Drosophila melanogaster: one gene and its partners. The protein of the gene in region 2 interacts with the protein of the main gene of each other region in a pairwise test. Each region holds a gene or a part of one and is shown on either strand. Other genes may lie near its edges.

Region 1 (5,795 bases), 2.6 Mb from region 2:
CTCCACGAACAGAATGGTTTTCCAGCTGGTTCGATTCGCGGCCAAAACGTAAGTTTAGACGTCGTTCCACTACCTCCACATCGACCACCTCGACGACAACAACGACGCACACACCATCGGCGGCGGCGGCCCAGGTGCCCATCCTGACCATTGTGGATCCACTGAGGAATCCACAAAACTGGATTGGCATTTTGGCCCATCATATTGTCAATTCCACTGGCAGTGCCATCTCTACGAGCACAAGTAATCCGCTCCTCCAGGCCTTGGCCACTCGAATGACCACCAGGGGAACCACTAGCACCACAACCACCACATCGCGGCCGGACGTTCCCAGGCGCATAAGCTATGACAAGTATCAGATTTGGCGTCTAAAGCCGCAGGATGAAGAGCAGGTCCGTGCACTGGAGGAGTTCAAAAAGGGCGAGGACGGCGTTAAGTTGCAATGGCTCAAGGGTCCAAGTCTCAGGTAAGCTAGACTTAAAGCTCAAAAATGTATGATGACAATCAATTTGGGGATTATTACAATACATTTTAAACCAAATCTTCTCACTCACCTCATCGTTTCAGAGGTCTTACGGATGTTCTTGTGCCACCCAAGATGCTCGTGGACTTTCAGGGCACTCTAAACTACGAGGGCATAGCGCACGAAGTGCTCATTTTCGATGTGGGCAAGGCCATCGCATACGAACTGACCAAAGAGGATTACCTACAAACCACTCGTCCCTCGAAGCCGCGTCCCACGGCACCACCGCCCATGACATGGAATCGTTACCATAATCACGATGAGATCGTCAAGTATCTGGAGACGGTGCGAATGCGTCATCCGCAGCTCGTTGAGCTCATCCACATTGGTCGTTCCTTCGAAGGTCGACCCTTAATTGTGGTAAAGATCGAATCCAAACAGACGGCGGCGGCGGCGAACAACGATGGTCTACACACCATCAAGCGACCCAAGCGGAAGCGGAAGTCGGGCCAGGCAAATGCCGTTTTCGTCGAAGCTGGTGCTCAGGGATTGGCCTGGATTGGACCCGCGGCGGCCACCTGGATGATTGCCGAACTGCTGCGACTAATGAAAACAAACAGTGAGTATATACACATATACTATTACCGAACTAGTATGTTCGTATTCTTAAACATCTATTTCACGATATTAATAATACTGGCCCAGATCATAAGTAACAATTTAGTAATACCTACAAAAGTTTTCTCTTAAAGTTTATTCAAATTGAAATTTTTGCAAATGATCGAATGGTTCGTGTTTCCAGGCAATACGTATAGTTTCGCAGTCTTAAGTCAGTTTAAGTATTATTGGCGCCCAACGTGGGGCTTCGTTGGTGGTTACTGCAACATGCGAACCAGTGTGTCGCGCATCCAGAGCACAATGGTGGGTGGTTGTTTCATCTCAGTCGGAATAGCATATCGTCTCGAGCTCAAGAAAATTGCCCGTCCCTCGCAATCCGTATACCTCGTTTTGCGGTGCGTGTGAAAGCCCAGGCTGGGTCCACAAGTGGCTGCCTTCTTAATCTTCGGCTTATGAGCACAGGTCTTGGTTTTGGATGCACAGCTCTTGGTCTTTGGCTTGGTGGATCTGTGAAAGAAGCCAATGCCACCACCTTTGGTTCTGGAACGGGCTCGATCCCGTGAATGACAGCAGGAACCACTGAGGTTGGTCACCTGCGATATGGCAAACGCAACGAGCAGCAGCCCGAACACAATGGCCACCGCCACCTGAATGTTGCGATCGGCGTTCTTCAGGTCCACCAGCAACTGGACAACATGGTAGCCCAGAGTAATCCAAAATGTTATCGTGCAGATGGCAAAAAAACTAATGGAAGATTACGTAGATTATCATAGAGTTGGAATGATCCAATCCTGGAATATATAAATATATACTCACACTAAAACACCGAGGACCTCCAATAGGAAGGTAATGAAGAAGTTAAGCTGCTCACTTCCGAAATCTGTTCCAAAAGTTCCCCGCTGCCCGGCGCCAACTTGCTTATAGCCGCCACCTTGAGCTCCTCGTAGGGCGCTCTGTACAGGTGGGCCTCCTGATCCCGTTGTCAATATTAATGGACCAGTTCCCATGGTTCCCGGACCTAGAAAGCTTCCGGGATCAACGCCATGGGCCTGACCGCATCCAAAATCACAGCCAGTTCCATAGCCACAGTCCTCATCGCATGCAACGCCCAGACTGCATCGGTTCTGGCCCAAATTAGCGGCGCCCAGACTGATGGCGAATCCCAGGGTGTCTCTGCCGGCAGGTCCAGCGGCAACTTGTTGTTGTCGCGCCGCCCAACCATGGTGGCAGGCTCCCACGCTCCTCTCACTCTCACCCCTGTTGCCATTATTGTAATCCCCGTTGGACATCATGCTGCTATACCTGTTCTGATCGTAGATGGCGTTCGGGGAGAAGTTTATATTGCCAACCATACTTTCGCTTACAGCCACGGGAGTGGTTTCAAAGCGCAGATTGCCCCCTGCGGGCTCATTGGATGTGGTTCTCGCCGAAGAGGTTTGGAACACTTCCACCATTTCCTCCGATATCCGCGTACTGTCCGAATCCCTGGCTTCAGCACTGAAGACCAAGCTAGCGTGTTGTCCATGCACCGCCGATCCCCGGGGACTGGCCGACTCCGGAATGACCATAACCCCCGGATTTACTTCTGACACTTCCGATGCGCCGGATTCTCTTAGTGGTACGATTGGTGCTCCACCTTCTTCTGGATTTTCGGTAACTTGTAGGCTGTGCGGAGCTCTTGCGATGCGAGAAACTCTTCTGAGTCGTTCGCCCAGAAGGGATGTCATGGTTGGTGCTTTATTACCGTCCGGCTGGAGGAGTAACGCTTTGGCGGTGGCAGGCAATGATGAGCCACTGTCTTCCTCTACTCCTCCTCCAACTGAAGAGTTTGATTTGGAGCACACGTATTTACGCGAGGACTTTCGGGGTCTTCGCCTCTCCATTCTGATCTTGGTCCAACTGGAGGAGAAGTGGCAAGCTGTAAAGGTCTAAAGTATACACTATCGATTTCTGGGTCTACAAATATACTGACTAACGGACTGACAAAGGGATAACTAATGTAATTTGAGTTGGGGAAAAGCGGCTACGTTGATCGGTTGAACAACGTATTTATTTTCTTAAGAGAATTAATATTTATTAACATTTATTTCATATGCATTATGTAAAGTTATGTATAAAAATAACCCATAAAACGTTTACTCAACAGAAAGCAACGAGGACGTGGAGTTCATCCGGAACACCACATGGTACATAATGCCGGTCCTGAATCCGGACGGATATGCGTACAGCCACGAGTACGATCGTTTCTGGAAGAAGTCGCGATCTCAGCACCAGACTCCACCTCCCAGTGGCCTCCTCGACTCGGCGATGACATGGCTCCAGCAAAAACGGGGTCCGGATAAGGTCTGCTACGGGGTGGACCTGGACAGAAACTGGCTGTATCATTGGGGCAAACGGGGTAGCTCCAAGGCACCCTGCAATGAGTTCTACGCCGGTCCAGCGCCATTTTCTGAACCGGAAACCAAGGCAGTATCTGAGTTCCTTATGGACTATAGGACGCAGATAAAGGTATGCTTAGAACAATATATAATTTTTATATTAACTCTCTAAAATAGATATATTTTTTGATTTATTAACTTTATTCATTATTTTTGCAGCTTTACATTTCCCTACAGGCCTATGGTCAGGTGATATCCTATCCGGTCAAGGCCAATTCCACTTTCAATTCAGAAAGATTGGATGATTTTCTGGACGTGGCGATGGTGGGTACCGATGGATTGCGCAAAAAGGGTAGTAAGTCCCGATATAAGGTCGACGCATCCAACGATCTAATTGAACAGCGATCGGGTGCGTAATATTTATATTATTTGCTTCGAAGTAGAATATAATAGAGATCTTTATCCGACCTTGCCAATCCTTTGGCTTCCTTGATTTATCCAGGCTGTGCGGACGCTTTTGCCGCCTACGAGATCGGAATTCCCTTCAGCTACACGCTCCAGCTGGCGGACAACGGAGTGCACGGTTATCTGCTGCCCAGCAGCGCCATTGAGCCCACGGCTCGGGATGCCTTTGAGATCATAAGCGGCATGCTGGACTACATATGAGGCTGGGATGCGGAGATCGGATTCCAATCGAAGACGAAGGCAGCAGGGATTTGGGGTGGGGCTACATGTGAATGAGTTTTAGTTCCTTTTAAACGGGCTTTGGTGGCTTGCGTTCCGGAGATCACTAGCCGTATTTCCGGAATACATTCTCCAATACTTTTAGCTGCATTTACGTATCTTATGCATTCGAAATTTTTTTTTTATTTCATATAAATTCCCTTAAGTTGAGATTTCCGTTTAGCATAATAAATATTATTGTTATATGTATGTATATTATAATTAATTATCAGCAATTTTTTTTTGGTAGTTTTAATCCCTTTTAGACTAAATAGTATACTATAATAAAGTCTTATATTTGATCGAGCATTCGATTGCTTCGCTTTCGTATAACATTTTGCATGGATGCCATGTAGGGAGATATTTTCAACGTACAGTATTTCTTAAGTTCTTGCCAAATGTACGCACTGTCTTAGTATTATATGCGGATATAATATAGCGTGCCTTGCCTTTTATAAATTCATTTTCTTAAATATTCGACCGTTCCCCATTTGGATATCTTTTGGGAAGGCAATATGAATAGCTTTAAGTCAATAAAATGGAAATGCAGTCTTAATAACTCGAAATTCGTTCGAGATTGGAAAATTCGTTCCAGCTTTGAAAATATTCGTCTAACCTGACAAAATGCATGTTTTAATAATGCATAAGGTAAACGTTCTAAGTAAGTATTGTTTGAAAAGCAAGAGCATACGGCGAATAACTACAATACTGCCAGCTATGATTAAACTCAGGAACTGGTTACCAAGGCACTGTAGTGGCTCCAAACTTCTGTCCTTCGTCTAGGCGAATCTCTGGGAGACCATGATCTTGGCCGAGAGCTTGGCAAAATTCGTGTGGCACTCGTTGCCGTGGAAATAGAGTCCAATAAGCAGCTTGAACTGGGCTGCTGACATGGGATACGGTTCCTGCGACATGACCACAATGGTGTCGATGCTTTTGCCCGCCTTCTGTTCCGCCAGATTGGCCAGGATTTCGCGGTAATTCACAAAGGATGCGGAGCACTTGGCAATTTGCCGGACCATTTTGTTCGTGGAGCACTGCTGCATCACAGGACGCAGTAGTGCATCCAAAACGAGCGACTGCAGATCAAAGACTATCAAATCGGGACTGCGCAAGGATTCGGCGCTATCCTGCATTTCCAGCATGCGAAGCGGGGTGCTCTCCACATCCACCAGTTGCAGAATGGTCAGGTATTTGCTGCAGTTATGGGCCTCCCATGGATAGCGCTTTGCCATTCCCTGCTGGCGACTGGTGATCAGTAAGACGCGCTTTTCTTTGGTGGCAAAGCGTTCGCATAGCTAAAAGAAATGCAATTTGATGTTCAAAAACCGACCTGAATCCGATGTTCAGAACTTACCTTTGCCAAATTAAGGGCGTAATCCTCACTGCCCGTCAAATATATATAGTTATTGTTGCAGTCGCTCAAACTCATTCCTTAAAAATGCTTACAAATTAAACAATATATATTTAAGGAATTCTAAAATTCTTCTGCCGCTATTATCGGTATCGGGATGAGTTTTTAATAGAGGTGCCGAAACATCGATGCTAATATCGATGCACCGAGGTTTTTTTTTAAATATTCCAAACATCGATGCTTATTTCAGACTATCGAT
Region 2 (6,099 bases):
GTCCTCCGTTCCACAAGCGGTACTCCGGCAGAATGTGCAGGCGTAGTCGCCGACCGATCTTGTCAAAGGCCTCGCCGGGCGCATCATCCAGTGTTTGGCCAAGAAGCGTAAGGCGACCGGGGCCGTTAGCCACCACCAACTGACAGTGGCCGCCGCTGGCCAGCAAGCAGAGGAAGGGGTAGCCGATCTGCTCCGGATGTTCCATGCGGGCCTGCAGCGCGTGCGCCTCCATGTGGTGAACGGGCAGCAGGGGCTTCTGCAGGCGACGGGCCAGGTGCCGTGCAAAGCGCACGCCCACCAGCAAACTCAGCGGCAGTCCGGGACGCGTGGTCACCGCGATGGCCGTCAGTTGGTCCGGCTTCAATTGCGCCGCCTCCATGCAGCGCTGGTAGGCGGACTCGATGCGGGCGCGGTGAAGGTCCTGGGCCCTGGGCGGAATAATGCCTCCATAGCTGCAATCGATTCAGTTCATCATTGGGCACCGCATGCGGAGATGTGAGCACTCACCGGGTGTGGAACTCCTGTTGCGACTCCAGCACATTGGCAATCACTCGGCCCGTGGTGTCCACGATGGCGATGCCCGTGTCGTCGCAGGAGGTCTCGATGCCCAGGACATAGCTGAGCCGGCGCCTGATCCCACAGCCAAATACATTTGCTATTCCATTGCCGGCAAAATTACGAAGTGCATGCATAATGGCCAGTGTGACCAGGCACCGATAGAAACCACAACCAGCAAATCGTGGGACCGTTAGTGTTAGGGCCCCTTACACGAGCCAAATTCTTAACTATACTTTAATGCAATTTTTATTTAATATAAAATAATAATAATAGTTGTTTCAATGCCCAAAATTGGTAATAGCAATTGTGTCGTATGAAGAAGTTTCCTAAGTGAATTTTACGAATAATTTATTCTTCATTAAGAAGCAAAGAGATTTCGAAAAGTGATTATTTACAGTTGTCTTTATATTGTTTATTAGTTTCAAATTGAATTTTGGACTTGTCTTCGTCGGTTACAACTAAATAATAAATAATATTGGTTTAGTCTGAAATCGGCATGGTCTTTTCCCGCCGCTTGTTTCCCGGAATTGCAGCAACGCACACGTAAAACCAAAACCTCACGCACACGCACATACAGATTATTCCGGACTTGCACATTAGCCGTTCGTACGGAGATAGGATTCATCTAAGTTAGTGGTAAGTAAATACATTTTGGCCTCTTAACGCTCGTAGTAGACGCGGTAGTACAGCGTCTTATTGCGCCAGATGCTGTAGCTGTTGTCGAACTTCAGCAAATAGACGCCCTCGCCCGGATAGGAGTGGGAGCCCACGTAGACCTCGTTGTAGCACTCCCGTCGATAGATCGGTACGATAATGGAAATGGGTGCCTTGGGGGCAGCAGTCGGGTTGTTAACTGCGCCGCGCTCCTGCGACAGCGAGCCGGACTCCAGGTCCTCGGTGGTGGATAGGTAGTCCTCGTCCACGCAATCCTCGTCCTCGTCGGAGTCGCTCACATGCACGGTCACCTCGTTGGTCACGGGCTTGGCCCACTCGAAGTAGATGCCGAAGCCGATGTCGTAGCTGTCCGTGGCGAACTCCCAGAAGATGCACTTGCCGTTCATGTTGGTGGGCACACGGACCTGCAAAATTGTGCCGGTCAATATGGGCCTTGTTTCGTCATTAGTTGATTGCCACCTACCGTCACCGTGTCGCCGTGTCCAATGGTGATGACGCCGTCCCCATCGCCGGCGGACACCTCAGTCTTAAACTGCTCGATGTCGGGACGAGTCCAGATCTTGGCCGGGCAGATCATAACGTAGTCGTCGTACTCTTCCTCGCCGTGCTGTTCCTGCCCAACGCCCTCCAACGTCTGCTCTACATGCCCGTCTTGCTGCTCGGCCAGCTGCTGGTGCTGCTGTGTCTCGACCTCACCGAGCTTCAGTCCCTCCATGGCGTTGGGCAAGTCGGTTGAGCTGTTGTTGTTATTGCCAGGGACGTGTTCTGCTTCCTGGTGTCCCTTGTCCTCCGTGTTCTGATTCTGATTCTGGTTCTGGTTCTGCAGATGAAGCTGTTGCATGTACTGGTGATAGTGCTCCCGCTGCAGCTGGTGGATAAGCACGGCCTGCTGTTCGGGGTTTCCGGGGAACTGCTTCTCAGCGTACAGCTGTGGAACGAGTGTAAGCGTTAGAAGGGCCAAGTTAATGGTACAGGAGCTGGCATGCAATTGCCTGAGAACTGGGTCATGACCCCTTTTCAATGGCAGACAGCGCAGCCAAGGCCGAGCACCCAGTAATTATCATGCATTATTTAGCACAACAACAGGTGCAGAGGGCCGGGCCGGTGTGTTGTTGAAAAAATCGATGGGCTACCTTAAACTGCTGGTAAGTCTGCTTGTTGAGTGCGTCCTGCAGCTGGCGGCGCTGCAGCTCCTCCTTGTAACCCTCCTCGAGCAGCTCCTGCTGGGCGTTCTCCTGCCGCTCGCGTGCCTCCTTCTTCTCCTCCATGAGGCGCAGCTCCTTGCGCAGCGTCTCGTCGCGGTCCTGCCGCACGGCCTCAATGTACGGCCGAAAGGCGCTGCACATTGTGTCCAGCAGGTCGACGAACCCCTCCATCGCCTGCTCGCGCGTTATCTCACCGAGCAGCTGCCAGTGCTGCTGCCGGTCGCGTCCGATCACGTCCAGGACGCCCAGCGCCGGGGCGCGACTCGTGTTGAAGGGGCCCAGCGCCGCCTGCTGCTTGAAGGCGATCAGCTTGAGGTTGTCCTCGTACGACAAGTGGATGGCCTTGCCGGAGTTCCCTGCAATATGTGAGATTAGCCGTTATTGGTGCGCTAGTGCCGGGATCTCTGCTCTTACGCTTGTAGAACGTGAATGCCAGGCGGTAGAGCTCAATCAAAGGGAAGCCCCACTTCTCGGCCGATGATGGTGCCATGTCCGTCGACTGGGCCGTTTCACTGCTGCTTGTGCCGCTTGTCCCGCTCGCCATGCTGCCGTTGTTTGTGGGCTAGTCCACGATTGCTGGCCTGCAAACTTTTCGCACAAAACAAAACAAAATAATAGAATTTATTGTGACGTCTGCTGCCAGTGTGACCAGCCAGCTGCGCACCTAAAGTAATTGTATTGCTCGCCTTGCAACACTGACCGATGGGGATTATTTTTGTCTAACTTAATGTATTTGCCTATTTACAAAGTTGCTAAATAAATTTGAAAGCTGGTTTAGTGTTGCTTGGACTTGTTAAAAACCTGTATAAAGCAATTGGGAATTGGAATTGTGGCTATATTTAAGTGTAAGTTTTTATCTGCCCGCGGTCACACTGGCCCACAGCAATTCTTGCCGGGATTTGGATTCTACACGTGCATTGCAAGCGTAAACATAATATGGGCAGCACTCGGTTCTTCCTGGCGGATCTGCCGACCAGGACCTCGGAGTCGGACCTGCAGATCCTGTTCCAGGACTACGGTCACGTAGAGCACGTGGATCTGAAGCGCAAGGAGCAGGATGGGGCCACTAAGGTGATTGCCTTCGTCACCGTGCAGACGGATGATGCCCAGTACTGTAAGTTATCCGCGGAAGATCACAGCCAGACGGAAGGAGTAACCATAGCTTGGTTTTGTAGGCGTCAACGAGCTCAAATGGCAGAAGTTGCACGGCGAAAAGCTAAGAGTTTCTCTTGCCAAAGAATCGTTTTTGGATCGACTGAAGCGCGAACGCGAAGAGAACCAGCGCCGGGAACAGGGCGAGCCAGACGAGTCCGAGGTGCGTGCGCCGAGCTCTCAGCTCCTGGTGCAAAGTGGCCAAAACAAGCGCAGGGTATTCGGAGAGGATGAGGAGATTGGTGATGATGAGGTCGCTCCAGAGCTGCTGATTACCAAGAAGCGCGCCGCCAATTCCATGCACAATGGCCGGGTATGCACGCACTCATTGTTCCCAAGCTCATTGTCAGCTAAATTCCTTTCCTTTCCTTTCCCACAGATTGTCATCCAGCAGGAGCACGACGTGAAGCCACTCCATGTCATCGAACAGCACCGCAAGGCAGCCAAACAGAAGCCGGACGCCAATGTCAGCCAGGCGGAACAGAAGCGCAAGGAGTCGCTCAACAAGATGCGTCAGGGACACCAACAAAAGAAGTCAGCCATCCAGCAGGCGCTATCTGTGATATCAGTCGAAGGCAGTCAGGCAAAGAGAATAAAATTCAGCGACGCCGAGGAGGAGGAGGCGTCCAAGCCCGTCCAGAAAGCCAAGATACAAAAGCGGGATCTGTTCGAGAACGACGACGATGAGGAAGAGGAGCAGATCGTCCTGCCGCAGCATAAGGGCAAGAAGGGCGAGCGTCTGGTGGAGATGCAGAGCAAACAGAGTATAGATCCCCGCTTCCGCATCACATCGAACTTTGTGAACGAGGAGGAAGAGGCGGAGCTGGAGGATCAGCCTGAGCCGGAGGAGAGTGAGCGCAAATGGCACATGAACATTCTGGAGCAGGTTGTGGGACACGCGATCACCAGTGCGAACGATAAGGACGGTAAGTCGCCAAAGAACAAAAAGATGCTGCGCTTCGATCCGGCCAAGGAGGGCCATCAGAAGCTAATGCGCCAAAAGCAGCCCAAGGAGGAGGAGGAGAAGAAGGAGGAGACTTCCAGTACGAAAGCCAAGACCGCCGACGCGGGCAACAGTCAAGCTTCAGCCGTCTCGAAGACGGCCTTTTACATTGTCACCGACACGTTGAGGGATTCGCTGAACACGCGTGGAGAGGGTTTCAGCCTGCTGGACATGTTCGGCAGTGCACCGGAGAAGGAGGTGGCCAAGCGCCAGGACCAGTTGGAGAAGCTGGGCCATGAGAAGATCCTGGTGGGCAAGACGTCTGCCAATAAGCTCGGACTGGCCACTCTCAATCCGTTCTCCTACGACTCGTCCGACAGCGAAGACGAAACCGAAGTAAAGCCGAAGCAAGAGCAGGAGCAGGAGCAGGAGCTTGAGGTCAGCAAGGAGAACAAGGCCCAGCCAGCGAAGAAGTCGGGTCAAAAGAGGAACAAAAACAAATTGGAGTCCTTCTTCATACCCAGAAACGATCCTCGTCTCAAGGGTAAGAACGTGAATCTGTGCGTATTTTTTCATTCTCAACAAGCGATCGTCTTTTCTTTGCAGAGGGCGCCAAGTTTTTCAAGTCCACGAAGGCGGTGGTTGACCATGCCGAATATGACCAAGTGAAGAACCGCCTGAAATTGCTGATCACCAAAAAGATCGCCAAGGCGAAGAAGAGCCTGCCCAGCAAGGATATCAAGCTGCAGCGGAATAAAAAGGGAAAAAACTGATCTAGGTTAAATTATACCCTTAGTCTTAAGCATAATCCTGTGTAAAATAAACCAATATTGTTCTTTTTTTTTTTTGTAAATGGTACATGTATTCATCTAGATTACAAAAAAAAAAAATGAAATGTTTGTGCTTTAGTTACTGCACAAATGCATTTGAGCCCCGTTGCAGCTCCAACTAGATTATCGTAGCGGTGTGAATCCGGCTCTGTTGAGATTCATTCGGCATCCGCTGGTGGGATTCCGCCTAACTAAAAGCTAATTAAGTGAATTAAGATTATCGCTTCAACAAAAATTGCGGCGCTTAATATTCAACATTGCAATTAAGTTTCATTCGTCCGCTAAGCACTTGTGTAGGCTCTCTAAGTAAAAATGGCAATCTCAACTGAAATTCGAGACATGGCTCTTCTTTGGCACTGTATCCTCTGCCGCCATCCGGTGAGAGGAGTGGCGGTAGGGAAGGGTTATATATATATATATGTATGTAGGTAGAAGTCTTAAGTAGATCTAGCGAGTAGTGGATGCATTATATTCTACGTCTGCCTGCCATCCGTCCGTTCATCGCCGCCAGCCTTTGGTGTCAGCTTGGCCAGCTTGTCCTTCACCTGAACATCGTCACCGCTATCGCCGTCGTCTGGCACCTCAATGGCGGCATCCTGATTCGCGACGGGAATGGTGCCGCTCCTGCCTGTCGCAATGCCGTTGCGTTCCGGACTGGTGGGCTGCTCCTGCGTAGCTGGCGGCGCTGCAAACTGAGCCTCTGGTGGTGGCGGAGACAACGGTCTGGCTGTCGCTG
Region 3 (6,257 bases), on a different chromosome or scaffold from region 2:
ACATTTACAATTAAACTATACAAACATCTTTTTAATCTCATATTTTAAAAGGAAATGACGAAATTTCCTACATATTTGATCCTGTCTTTAAATTAAAGTAAAATTATATAAAGTTAAATATGCATTAGTCGTTGTTGAGCTCTTGTAAGTGCGCCATATGTTTATGATTACTTATTTTAATTATTAAACAGTATTTTCCATTTTAATAAATTAATCTTATTTTTACTGTGTCTATGCGTGCCTGTTTTTGTTTCCTTTTGAGTTTGCTTTGAGCACTTCTGTAATTTCATTTCCATCCCTAACAAATTTAGCTCGTTGCAGACATTTATCATACGCTCTGTGTGCCATGCGTTCTTCCCACCATAAATCACTTACTTCTGCCTCTGCCGGTCTCCCTCTTCCCGTTGGAACTCCAATTTTCCAAATAAAAATGACCAAATGCAATTATAATACGCCATCCAAACAACTTTTAATGCCAACTGACAGCTGCCCAAAGTCTGCTCATCGAAATCATTGTGTGTTGTTTTATGTTTCGCGCAAAATGTTATGGATTGTGAGTTGATTGATTGTTTAGGCCGGATTGTCCAGCTTAAAGAAGCTGGGTTCGGAAAAATATAAGTATATATACATATATAATATTTGGAATTTGAAGCAAGAAGTTTGCCCACCAATTGGTTTTTTTGCCCATGTCCAGTTTTGAAAATATCAAATTTCGAAAACTGTCCGAGATGAACATGTTTTATAACATGTGTTACATTGCAGCATTGCTTGTGGCAGGTGTCCGAAATCTTGGTTTGGGTTTGAGGTCTAAGTCCTGGGATGAGTTTTGGTGTTTCAAAAGCACAACTTAAATCAATGTTCCAGCACTTCGCAACAAGAACGGGCCCCATATAAACAGCAGATGTACTATGGAAGACCCAAAAAACACGCCCATTAACAGAACTCTTTTATGGCCGCTCCGCCCTCTGTTTGTGTCCCTGGAGAAAAGGGCTCGATTAGGGGACGATGTGAGGGGGCGTGTACTATCAGCTGTTTCCCATTATGACTACAGCGGAAATACACAAGCAAGTGGAAAACAGTCGAGGAAAAGCGGAAGCAAAAAAAAGGCCGCCACTGGCAATGCAAACACAGTAACACACTAAGGCACAAGCAAAACTCGCTTACACACGCAAGGCGATAAAAATAAAGCGAAGCCCACGGAACGAGAGGCAAAAATTGGAACTAAATGCGTATACGTAATGTGATAGAACCCACCTAAAAAAAAGGGAACTACGGAGTGATAATAAAACAATGGCACCGTTGACGACACTTCTCAACAAACATTAAGTAAGGGGAAAGAAACTTTAAATAGCTTTTTTTTTCGAAAAATATCCTTTAAACTCAAGTTCAGATAGATGTAAAATAGCCCTATTTTCTATATGAAGAAATGACCACCTATACTGTATCTAAATATTTTGTAGTTACTATTTTTCTTCGTTTTTGTAGTTCACTCGATAAGGTTAAGCAAAAAATGCCAGCAAAAAAGCAGAATCGAAAGGAAAAACAACTTTTCGTGGAAATACCGTGGTGAAAATCGAAAACCGAGAAAAGCGAAAAACAAAAAAAAATGTTATAACCACACAAAACTCACACATCCAGACACATAAAGCTACTTAAGCCCGGACACATCGCACACATTCAAGCGAGGGGAACCCCCCCCCCCCCCTGACAGCTGCCATGGCAAACGTGCGAAAGGGACGAAAGAGGCGATAGGAGCGACAGGGACGGGCAGAAACAAACAGTGGGACACGGAGCTTGTCACTTTATTTGGCTCGATTTCAATGCACTGCCAACTTGGGCATATTAGTATGCAAAACTGATAATCAATAGGCGACGACTCAATGCCCAACGCTCAGTGGAGATTATGGCGCAATTTGCATACGGGCATGTGCCATTTGAAGATGTCACCACCCGTATCCCTTATACCGGGAAATCCTCTGAATTCGTCCTCTCAACTCCGACCAGCGAAGGACTCGCTGTCGTTTAATTGAGCCAGACCATCGCCAGCGTACAATTTGGTGTTCTATGTGTGGAGCGCGAATTTTTTTCGCCCTTAATTGAAATACGGGATAATGACTCCAAAAAGCTTTCAGTCTAACTTGCCCTGCAACGATGGATTGCATAGATCAAACATTTGAAAGTGCAAGAAACTGGCTGGAAAACTGTACAGCAAATCGCAATTTGGTGGCCAATGTCATTTGTCAAACTATAAAATTGGGTTTTCTTAACTAATAAGCTTAAACAACTTGTAAAATAAGTTGTCACACTGATCGATTCTTTAGCTCAAAGAAAAAATAAATTTCTTTTGAATAAATATGTATTTTATAATATTAATGCCAATTAAAAAAGTACTCGCATTCAAGGTAGGTTTTCTCCAAAACATTTATTAATCTACACGAGCATTTTTATACCTATTGCTTTCCTAATATTGAAATGAAATGCTGGCAGGAAATACCATAAATATGAAATGCTATACCTTTTCATCGGTTCCTTACGACCTCTTCGCTGAAATTTTTCAATAACTCTCTGGGGATTTTATGGTCGCAATTTGCAATTTATCATCAATTTGATGTGCAAAGGGCCGAACATAAAAGTGGCTCAAATGGTAAATGTAACAAAGGGCAATAACGACGTATGTATATGGCTGCAGCAGGCGACTGACTAACCCCCAACTAGATCCATAAGCGTAAAGCTTGATTTTCTATTGATTTCTGGTCAGAAGCTCACTGCTATCACCTGAAATTCTGAGTGAAATGCACCTGCTGCTCCTACACGAAGAGAAACGTCACACTCTTTGATAGGTTAATGCCAGTACCGAATTAAGTTGCCCATACATTAAAACCTAAAATCTCTTTTTTATTGCAGTACAACAGAAATTTTGAACATTACAATTCATAGTGGTTTATTTTATGCGAATTTATTGTTGTTGCCCATTTAAAAGATTATGAAAATATTTTATTTTATATATTTATCATGTAATGTATTCATGTACTACAATTTTCTCCAAGTATTCCTGAGTTAACTCTTCAGCAGAATAGCAAAAACTATAGCATACTTATGGGCCGCTTTGAGAGTTGCCATAAGACGCTTAATAACTGTGAGTAGTGCCCAGCAGGGGCGTGTATGAGGAGGGCACATGGCAAGGACATGGGCGTCGAATTGAGGGTACTCCGTCCGATGTACGTGCCAATGGCCGTAGTCGCAGTAATAAACACACGCACAGCCCAGTTAACACAGAAATATGCCCCAAGTGTCAGGGCGGGCAAAACATGCGATGATGAGTGGGGAAAGTAGAGAGGAAATGCGGGGGGGGGGAGCCCAAGGAAATGGGAAATGGATTTTCAGTGGCCTTTGTAATTGTTGTTTTTTGTATTATTCTTGTTTTTCTTTTGTTTTTTTTATAATTACTGCGATAGAGCTGGTTTTTGTGTGTAAGTGTGTTGCTGTGGTAAGCACACATAACGGTAATTTAATTAACATACATAAACACTCACACCGGCACACATAAGGAGAATGTGGCACACAAAGAAAGGTGAAAGGTTGGCGGAGGGGGTTTTACTTCTTTGGGCACTTACGAATCGGTTTCACAAACTTTTCGACCCTTTGTAATCGATTTCGAAATGGGGGTCTAACACGGTTTTAATTAAGATATTTATACTTTCGAAAAGCACTTGACAATTTTTGATTATTTTCAATATACTATTTTAATTCTTGATTTGATCAACAAGCGCACACTAATTTCGGCTATACTTTTTATATATTTATAATTTTGTAAATTTTTTTTTATGATTTAACTATATATCTTTGGAGGTGTGTGTTTACAGGTTCCTTTTTGATTTTATTGTGTTGGCATTTTGCTGCTTTGCCGCCGGATGTTGCACGTTGCGCCAGCACTTCCGCTTTGCGACCGAACCAACCGTCGAGAAACGCGTTCCGCAAGCGAATAAACAAACGGACTTCCACCGCACACATTTGTCGCACTTCCATGGCCAGTGTTGCCGTGCTGCACGTCCTGCGCACTGCGCACGACGCGAGAAGAGAGAGTTTCCCTCTCCCGCTGCTCTCTTCGAAATGCAACCTGCTGACGGAACATCTGTGTTTTTGTTATTATGCTTTTGTCAGGGCAACAGCAACAACTGTAGCATTCAATTGCAATTGTGGCAACCGAACATCCATGTATTTCAATTACACTCACTCGTATGTCGGGGTCACCGAAAATAACTGCCGACTAATTGATGGCGCACAAACGATTTAGGAGCACATTTTGATTGATTATTGCGAACTTTACATATGCATAAGTATGAACGTATACGTCCAGTAATTAATCTGAGTTGTCATAGGAACAAGATATAGATATCAAATATTTAACGAATTGCTATTGTCTAAGATGGTCGTATTCATCAGAAATATATCTGAAATATACATATATCAATATGTGTAATAATATAGACAGGTAATTTCTTCTAGCCAACTATATTGGTATTGAAGTTTAGAAGTGGGTTATTGCAATGATTTTTATTTTTAATATTGGCTTTATGCCTGTGAAAATAATCAAAAATTGGTAATAATGTCAATTTAAAGGAACCCGGTTTTTTCGAAGCACAAATATGTGGCTTGGACAGCTCAAGTACAGCGCCTTTTTTGCAGGACGATTTCCACACAATTGCAGGATTTTGTGCCTCGTCGACGACGCTGCTTAATGTCAAGGTTTTTTGGCTGCTGTTGCAAGTGCAGCAGCAGCAGGAAAAACAGGAAAACCAGAAACGGCCGAATGAGAACGGCACGTGGCCAGCCCCCGCAACGAAAAGGGGCCAGAAAGGGGGTCGATTATGCCATTACCAGGGCAAAGCTGCACCTTCCGCCCCCGGAACCCCCAACCCCCTGCCAGTGCGCCGCGCATGAATGCCGCGACAGACCCGATTCGAAAGCCAATGTCAAGTGCACGCGGCACAAGGATATGGAGGCAGGAGTATATTACAGGCCGCCATCTGCCCCACTGTCAGTTCCCCTTCCTCAGTGCCCACAGCAGCTACAGTGGAGCTTCTATAAATTGACATTGGGCTTTCATCAATATTGAACTCTTCGATATGGACTGGCTTATGAAGACTCGTTTATAATAACACATAAATCCTATTTTCATATACGGCTTAAGTTTGACATACACAGGCTCGACTGTACCTCATCATCGAGCATTAGGACGGTCGTTGTTGTGACCTCCAAATTGGTTGGCACACTCACCTAAATGGGAGTTTATCTATATTTTATGTGCACGACTTATACCTCAGGCCCATTTCACTTGATCACCAATTAGTGACTATATGCTCAATATTTGCCAATATCAAACATCAGGTGCTTCGTCAATTAACTTGTTAATTAGATAGGAAATAGATTCTGTGGTTATAATTGTTTTTGTACCGTATTATAATTGTTACTACTTATTGTAGACGAATTTACATTAATCGATATCCATCCAAATTAGTCTGCGAATTCATTAGTTCAACAAACTACTCAAGGATGATGAACTTTTACTAAAACTAATTCCGTTCATCGGCTTTAAATAAAATAAATCAACTGTTTCATAATAGTAATTAATAAGTCATATTAGTCATATAAATAATAAGGGTCCACACACAAAATTGAATACAAGATAAAACGCTCTTCTCATTTGATATTTATTCAAATTATTATTTAATGTAAGTTTTGAACTTATTTATGTTAAATAACCTAGTGAGAATGAAATACAATGTTTTGTTTGTTTCTTCTTTACTGACTGCAGTGGATTGACTGCTTGGCATAACTTGTTTATTACTTCTTAAAAATTCTTCAATAATCTCTTTATAACTTAGGCGTATAAACTCATAATTCCGGCTAGTTTCGAGAACGGATTACCAAGGACAAAAGTAAATTACATATCTTCTACTAAAACTAGAATCTAAGGAAGAGAACAGACCAATCCGTCTACGACCAGGTCTTGGGAACACTGAACGGCCCGAATCGTTCGTGACTATCAACGCCCCGCACAGCGAAGTAATACCTCTGGTTCTCCTGGAACTGATTTAAAGTCACTGCCATTGGCAGCAACATAGCGCTGACATCGCCCACATGCCGCCAGCTATCCGTGCTGGGCTCGTTAATCGTCTCCTGGTATGCATAGATCTGGTACATTACGCACTCTGCGAACCGCGGGCTCGAATCCTCCAGAGTCCAGGATATAACGA
Region 4 (5,018 bases), on a different chromosome or scaffold from region 2:
TGAATGAAACCCTGCGATTGATGCCATCCGTTCCGTTCAGCTCGAGGGAGACACTGGAGGACTTGCGGCTATCAAATGGAGTTGTCATCCCCAAGGGAATGACTATCAGCATAGACATATTTAACACTCAACGCAACACTGATTATTGGGGCTCAGAAGCAGCGCAGTTCAATCCCGAAAACTTTCTGCCGGAAAAAATCCACGACAGGCATCCATACGCCTTCATTCCATTTTCAAAGGGAAAGAGAAATTGCATAGGTCGGTTAGCCTTGGAAAATACTAAGTATAAGTATAAGTAAGGTTTTAATACAACATTTTTTATTTGTATCAGGCTGGCGATATGGACTGATGTCTTCGAAACTAGCTTTAGTCAAGATACTCAGAAACTACAAGCTAAAAACCAGCTTTCCCTACGAAAATCTGGAATTCGTTGACCACATGGTCATAAAGCTTGCTCAGTCACCACAACTGGCATTCGAACGACGAACTTTATAACATAACTTTCTTATTTTGAAAATTCTATTATATTGGCTTTAAGAATTCTTTTTATACAGCCATCACAAATAAAACGGTTTGGTAGTTTTGATTATGATTGTTTTTAAAACTTGTAAGTATTGATTTGTTTCACCCGAGATCTTCTTGGCCAAGATACTTAGAAACTACAAGACAAACACTACTTTTTTCAAAGCAAGCCTTACACCGGCAAGGCTTCAAAGCAATCTCAAAGTAAGTATATGAAAAATAGGAATTTATTTTTTATAAATGTGCAAAAGGTCAAAGTGGAATTGGCACATTTATGAAAGGGCGAGTTAAAAATATTCTAGAGCAATTAAATGCTATGCATGTTTCACCTATATAAAGCTCGTCCGAATTCCCAAATATTCATTCAAGACCGTTCACCCAAATCGCAGATTGAAATGCTTACGCTGCAAATTTTTGAGGCATTTGCAATCATTTTATGTGTATACTTTCTATGGAGTCGAAGAAGATTTTATATTATGATGCTAAAGTTACCAGGACCAATGGGCTTTCCGTTTATCGGACTTGCCTTTGAGTACATTCGCCTAAAACGTAAGTAATTATATTTTCGAATTTAATTAGGTAAAACTAAAAACGTTTTTACACAGGTAAGATACGCCTGCGTACCATTTTATTTAAAATATATGGAAAAACGGTATTGACTTGGATTGGCTTAACTCCCGTCCTGGTGACCTGTGAACCTAAGATCCTTGAGGACATTTTCACGTCTCCCAATTGCAGCAACAGGAGTTCTGTGGTGGACAAGGCCATTTCATCATGTTTAGGACTGGGCCTTCTGACCCTAAAGAGTAAGTGAAAAATTCTTATAATTTCTTGTTTCTTAATTGACAATCAATTGTAAGTATAGATAATCATTGGAATGAACGACGAAAACTTTTGTTACCATCGTTTAAGAATAATGCTGTTCTAAGTTTTGTGCCAGTTTTAAACAATGAAGCCAATTTCCTGGTGACCTTACTCGCGGAATTTGTCGATGGGGGAGATATAAACTTACTTCCAGAACTCAATAAATGGTCATTCAAAATAGCCGCTCGTAAGTAAATAGGTTGCTATATTCTTATTTTATTAACTCTATAATTTAAGAAATTACTATGGGTGATGAAGTGAGAAATCAAGCGAACTACCAGAACGGAAATCTTTTGGAAAGCTACAAGGCGTATGATTATTTCTATCTTATATTAGTAGATTTATTTATACTCTATTTATTTTATAGCCTTAACAACCTAATACCCATTGGTGTTGTAATGCCTTGGCTCAGGAACAAGTATCTTGGAAAGCTATTTAGCTATGAAAAACGACGACTAGAGGCCGCAACGCAGTCAAATGCATTCATCAAAGACGTACTTATAACTCAGAAGTCAGAGATTTCCTTCTAAACATATGCATATTTTCAGATAATAGACAAAAAGCTGAGTAGCACAGATAATAGCTCAGAACCGGCACTAATTGACCGCATTCTCAATCTTGTGAGAATCGGAGAACTTTCTTATGACGACGTAATGGGGGAATTTTCTAATATCATATTTGCCGCATCCGATACTTTATCTATAACAGTCAACAATGTGCTTATCCTGATGGCAATGTTTCCTAAATACCAGGATAATGTATTTGAGGAGCTAGCAGAGGTGTTTCCTTCAGGAGGAGAATTCGAAGCCAGTCATGCGGATCTGGAGAAATTAGTGAAGCTGGATCGAGTTTTGCATGAGACTATGCGTTTAATACCGGCCGTTCCATTACTGATAAGGCAAACTTCCCATTCTATTCAACTATCAAACGGATTTTATATTCCAGAAGGCGTAACCTTAATGATAGACATTTTTCACACTCATCGTAATAAGGATATCTGGGGACCACAGGCTAATGCATTTAATCCCGATAACTTTCTGCCTGAAAATAAGCGAGCAAGGCCACCTTATTCCTATTTACCTTTTTCGAAGGGGAAGAAAACATGCTTAGGTGGGTAACTTTCTTATAATTCCTTTACACTATTATAATATATTATGTACTTAGGTTGGAAACTCTCGCTGATATCTGCAAAGCTAGCTCTAGCTAAAATATTACGAAATTATATGCTGAGTACCACCTTTTTGTACAAGGACCTTAGGTTTATAGACAATACCACTATGAAGCTGGCTGAGCAACCATTACTAGCAGTGAAACGTAGAATATAATCATTAAAGAATATTTCCATACTGTTAGAATGCATGAAATAAAAACCTCAAAGTAACCTTATTTCAACGAACTTTTCTTACTGTCATAGGTTCAACCCGGCACTTTTAATAGAAAATCCATTCGAAATGAACACGATATAGACTGCAAACACTTTCCAAATTCAAAGTGTCCCAAAATGTTGGCTCTGGCCAGGAATTCGTGGTGTGGCCAATTGCTGTGTCGCGTGGCGAACATCGAAGCCCGCTGCCCGTTCTCGAAGTCATCATCCGGCGGAAAGCAGGCCGAGAAGAAGGGCAAGTACAGGATTGTGATGGTTCGTCATGGAGAGTCCGAATGGAATCAGAAGAACCTATTCTGCGGATGGTTCGATGCCAAGCTATCGGAGAAGGGGCAGCAGGAGGCCTGTGCCGCTGGCAAAGCGCTCAAAGATGCCAAAATTGAGTTCGATGTGGCCCACACCTCGGTGCTGACCAGAGCCCAGGAGACACTCAGGGCCGCCCTAAAGTCCAGCGAGCACAAGAAGATTCCGGTGTGCACCACGTGGCGCCTCAACGAGCGCCACTACGGCGGACTGACGGGACTGAATAAGGCCGAGACCGCCAAGAAGTTCGGCGAGGAGAAGGTTAAGATCTGGCGCCGCAGCTTTGACACCCCACCGCCGCCAATGGAGAAGGATCACGAGTACTACGCCTGCATTGTTGAGGATCCGCGCTACAAGGACCAACTGAAGCCGGAGGAGTTCCCCAAATCCGAGTCCCTCAAGCTCACCATCGAGCGCACCTTGCCCTACTGGAACGAGGTCATAGTGCCCCAGATCAAGGATGGAATGCGTGTCCTGATCGCCGCCCACGGCAACAGCCTGCGGGGCGTGGTCAAGCACTTGGAATGCATCTCTGACAAGGACATTATGAGCCTCAACCTGCCCACTGGCATTCCTTTCGTCTACGAACTAGACGAGAGCCTCAAGCCTTTGGCCACGTTGAAGTTCCTCGGCGATCCGGAGACGGTGAAGAAGGCAATGGAGTCGGTGGCCAACCAGGGCAAAGCCAAGTGATCCGTGATTTTGGGTATACCCAGCAGCCTCCGAAGAAGGTCAGAGCAATCAGCTCAATGCACTTGTATGCCAAACAAAAGCGGCGAATCGAAAGTGGTGCTCACTGTGGCCAGGCGAATGTCAAGAAGCAAATAAATTTATTTGATTTTAATTGACAATGAAGAGTCAACAACGATGGGCTGGCTGGCCGTTGGTCTCTTGGTCTTGGTCTTGGTCTTGGTCTCTGGAACTCAGGCGACGGTTCTGGGTCCCAGGGTCTGGGTCTGGATGTGGGTCTGGGTCTGGGTCTGAGCCAAAGTCCAGCCGTATTTATATGTGTTTCCATTGCGCTCGTTTAAGAAATCAGGGAATCGAGTGTGTCGCGTCAATTTTAATTGCTGCGGGATGAGTCTGAGCAGCCTCTGGCATTCCGAACGGGTCGAATTTTAATTTGTTTAAATGAAATACTCATTTAGGGCTTATTGACAAACAAATTGAATTGATTGATCTAAATGAATTTATATGCTGAGCGCGGTGCCCAGCGAGACTCAGATTCCCTCCGAATGAGATGCGTTGAGATGGATAGGTAGGTGGTTGGAGTTTTGGTGTTTAGGTTTAGTCTTCTGAGCATTTGACCCGTTGCTAGCCGTCTACCATATGGGAGTTAATTTGGGGCCAGATTTTCCATGTTAGGCTCGCCGAGCGTGGCGAGCTTTGATCCAGTAAATTGAGAGCGTGAAACGAGCTAGGAGACGGGCACTCTGCTGGCAAACTTGGGTCCTCTGCAGGATCATCCTTCCATGAGGGCTGTGCGAACTACAATATCTTGCTGACTAGTGTGGCGCGAAGAGGCTGAGCTCCACATTATTTGAACCTAATTACACAGACGCAGTGGAGCCCAGACCGAAGTTAAAGTTAAAGTCAAAGTCGGCGCCCCGTCAAATTGGTATACCAATTGCAGCATAGAAACGGCGGGAACATAAAAATGTTTGCACTTCGTTTTTGTCGCGCATAAAATCTAATATCGAATTACAAGGCCCGGTCTTTGGAGAGGAGTCCAGAGTTCGCAGAACAGTGTGCGTGTCAGCGAAACTTTGTGGCAGGCTCCGTCGACCAAGCGCTCCGGCTCCACATCCCCACGTCTCCACATCCTCAAGCTCGCATCCACATCCCGCTGCCATAAAGAAACTGAATTGAGTTAAATGCGCGATAAATTGCTTTTTGCATTTATCATGGTCGCCCTGGCAGGCGGCAGCCCAAGTTTTCGCTGGAG

The links.
Region 1: the proteins of CG14232 (region 2) and CG4955 interact in a two-hybrid assay, tested with the Drosophila melanogaster proteins (one large-scale study listed by BioGRID).
Region 3: the proteins of CG14232 (region 2) and CG33144 interact in a two-hybrid assay, tested with the Drosophila melanogaster proteins (one large-scale study listed by BioGRID).
Region 4: the proteins of CG14232 (region 2) and Pglym87 interact in a two-hybrid assay, tested with the Drosophila melanogaster proteins (one large-scale study listed by BioGRID).

What each region holds. Positions count from the first base shown.
Region 1 is NC_004354.4:17,078,753-17,084,547, reverse strand, and holds CG4955 (uncharacterized protein), read right to left. Parts: upstream 3,102-5,795; 5' UTR 2,965-3,101; coding exon 1,898-2,964; intron 1,826-1,897; coding exon 1,339-1,825; 3' UTR 1,192-1,338; downstream 1-1,191. Other genes in the region: CG8945 (uncharacterized protein), read left to right, coding at 13-466, 568-1,082, 3,228-3,589, 3,679-3,868, 3,962-4,125; CG4949 (uncharacterized protein), read right to left, coding at 4,962-5,480, 5,540-5,614.
Region 2 is NC_004354.4:19,701,037-19,707,135, forward strand, and holds CG14232 (uncharacterized protein), read right to left. Parts: upstream 3,224-6,099; 5' UTR 3,103-3,223; exon of another isoform or gene 3,027-3,102; 5' UTR 2,983-3,026; coding exon 2,853-2,982; intron 2,795-2,852; coding exon 2,367-2,794; intron 2,162-2,366; coding exon 1,697-2,161; intron 1,638-1,696; coding exon 1,218-1,637; 3' UTR 952-1,217; downstream 1-951. Other genes in the region: Tcs4 (Threonyl-carbamoyl synthesis 4), read right to left, coding at 1-452, 508-692; CG14230 (uncharacterized protein), read left to right, coding at 3,375-3,552, 3,614-3,903, 3,970-5,077, 5,140-5,306; meso18E, read right to left, coding at 5,837-6,099.
Region 3 is NT_033778.4:10,794,726-10,800,982, forward strand, and holds the start of CG33144 (uncharacterized protein), read right to left. Parts: upstream 3,985-6,257; 5' UTR 3,615-3,984; intron 1-3,614. Other genes in the region: wde (windei), read right to left, coding at 5,998-6,257.
Region 4 is NT_033777.3:12,230,547-12,235,564, reverse strand, and holds Pglym87 (phosphoglyceromutase 87), read left to right. Parts: upstream 1-2,835; 5' UTR 2,836-2,887; coding exon 2,888-3,766; 3' UTR 3,767-3,920; downstream 3,921-5,018. Other genes in the region: Cyp313a2 (cytochrome P450 313a2), read left to right, coding at 1-258, 332-495; Cyp313a5 (cytochrome P450 313a5), read left to right, coding at 918-1,071, 1,128-1,328, 1,388-1,573, 1,624-1,696, 1,754-1,880, 1,935-2,496, 2,551-2,711.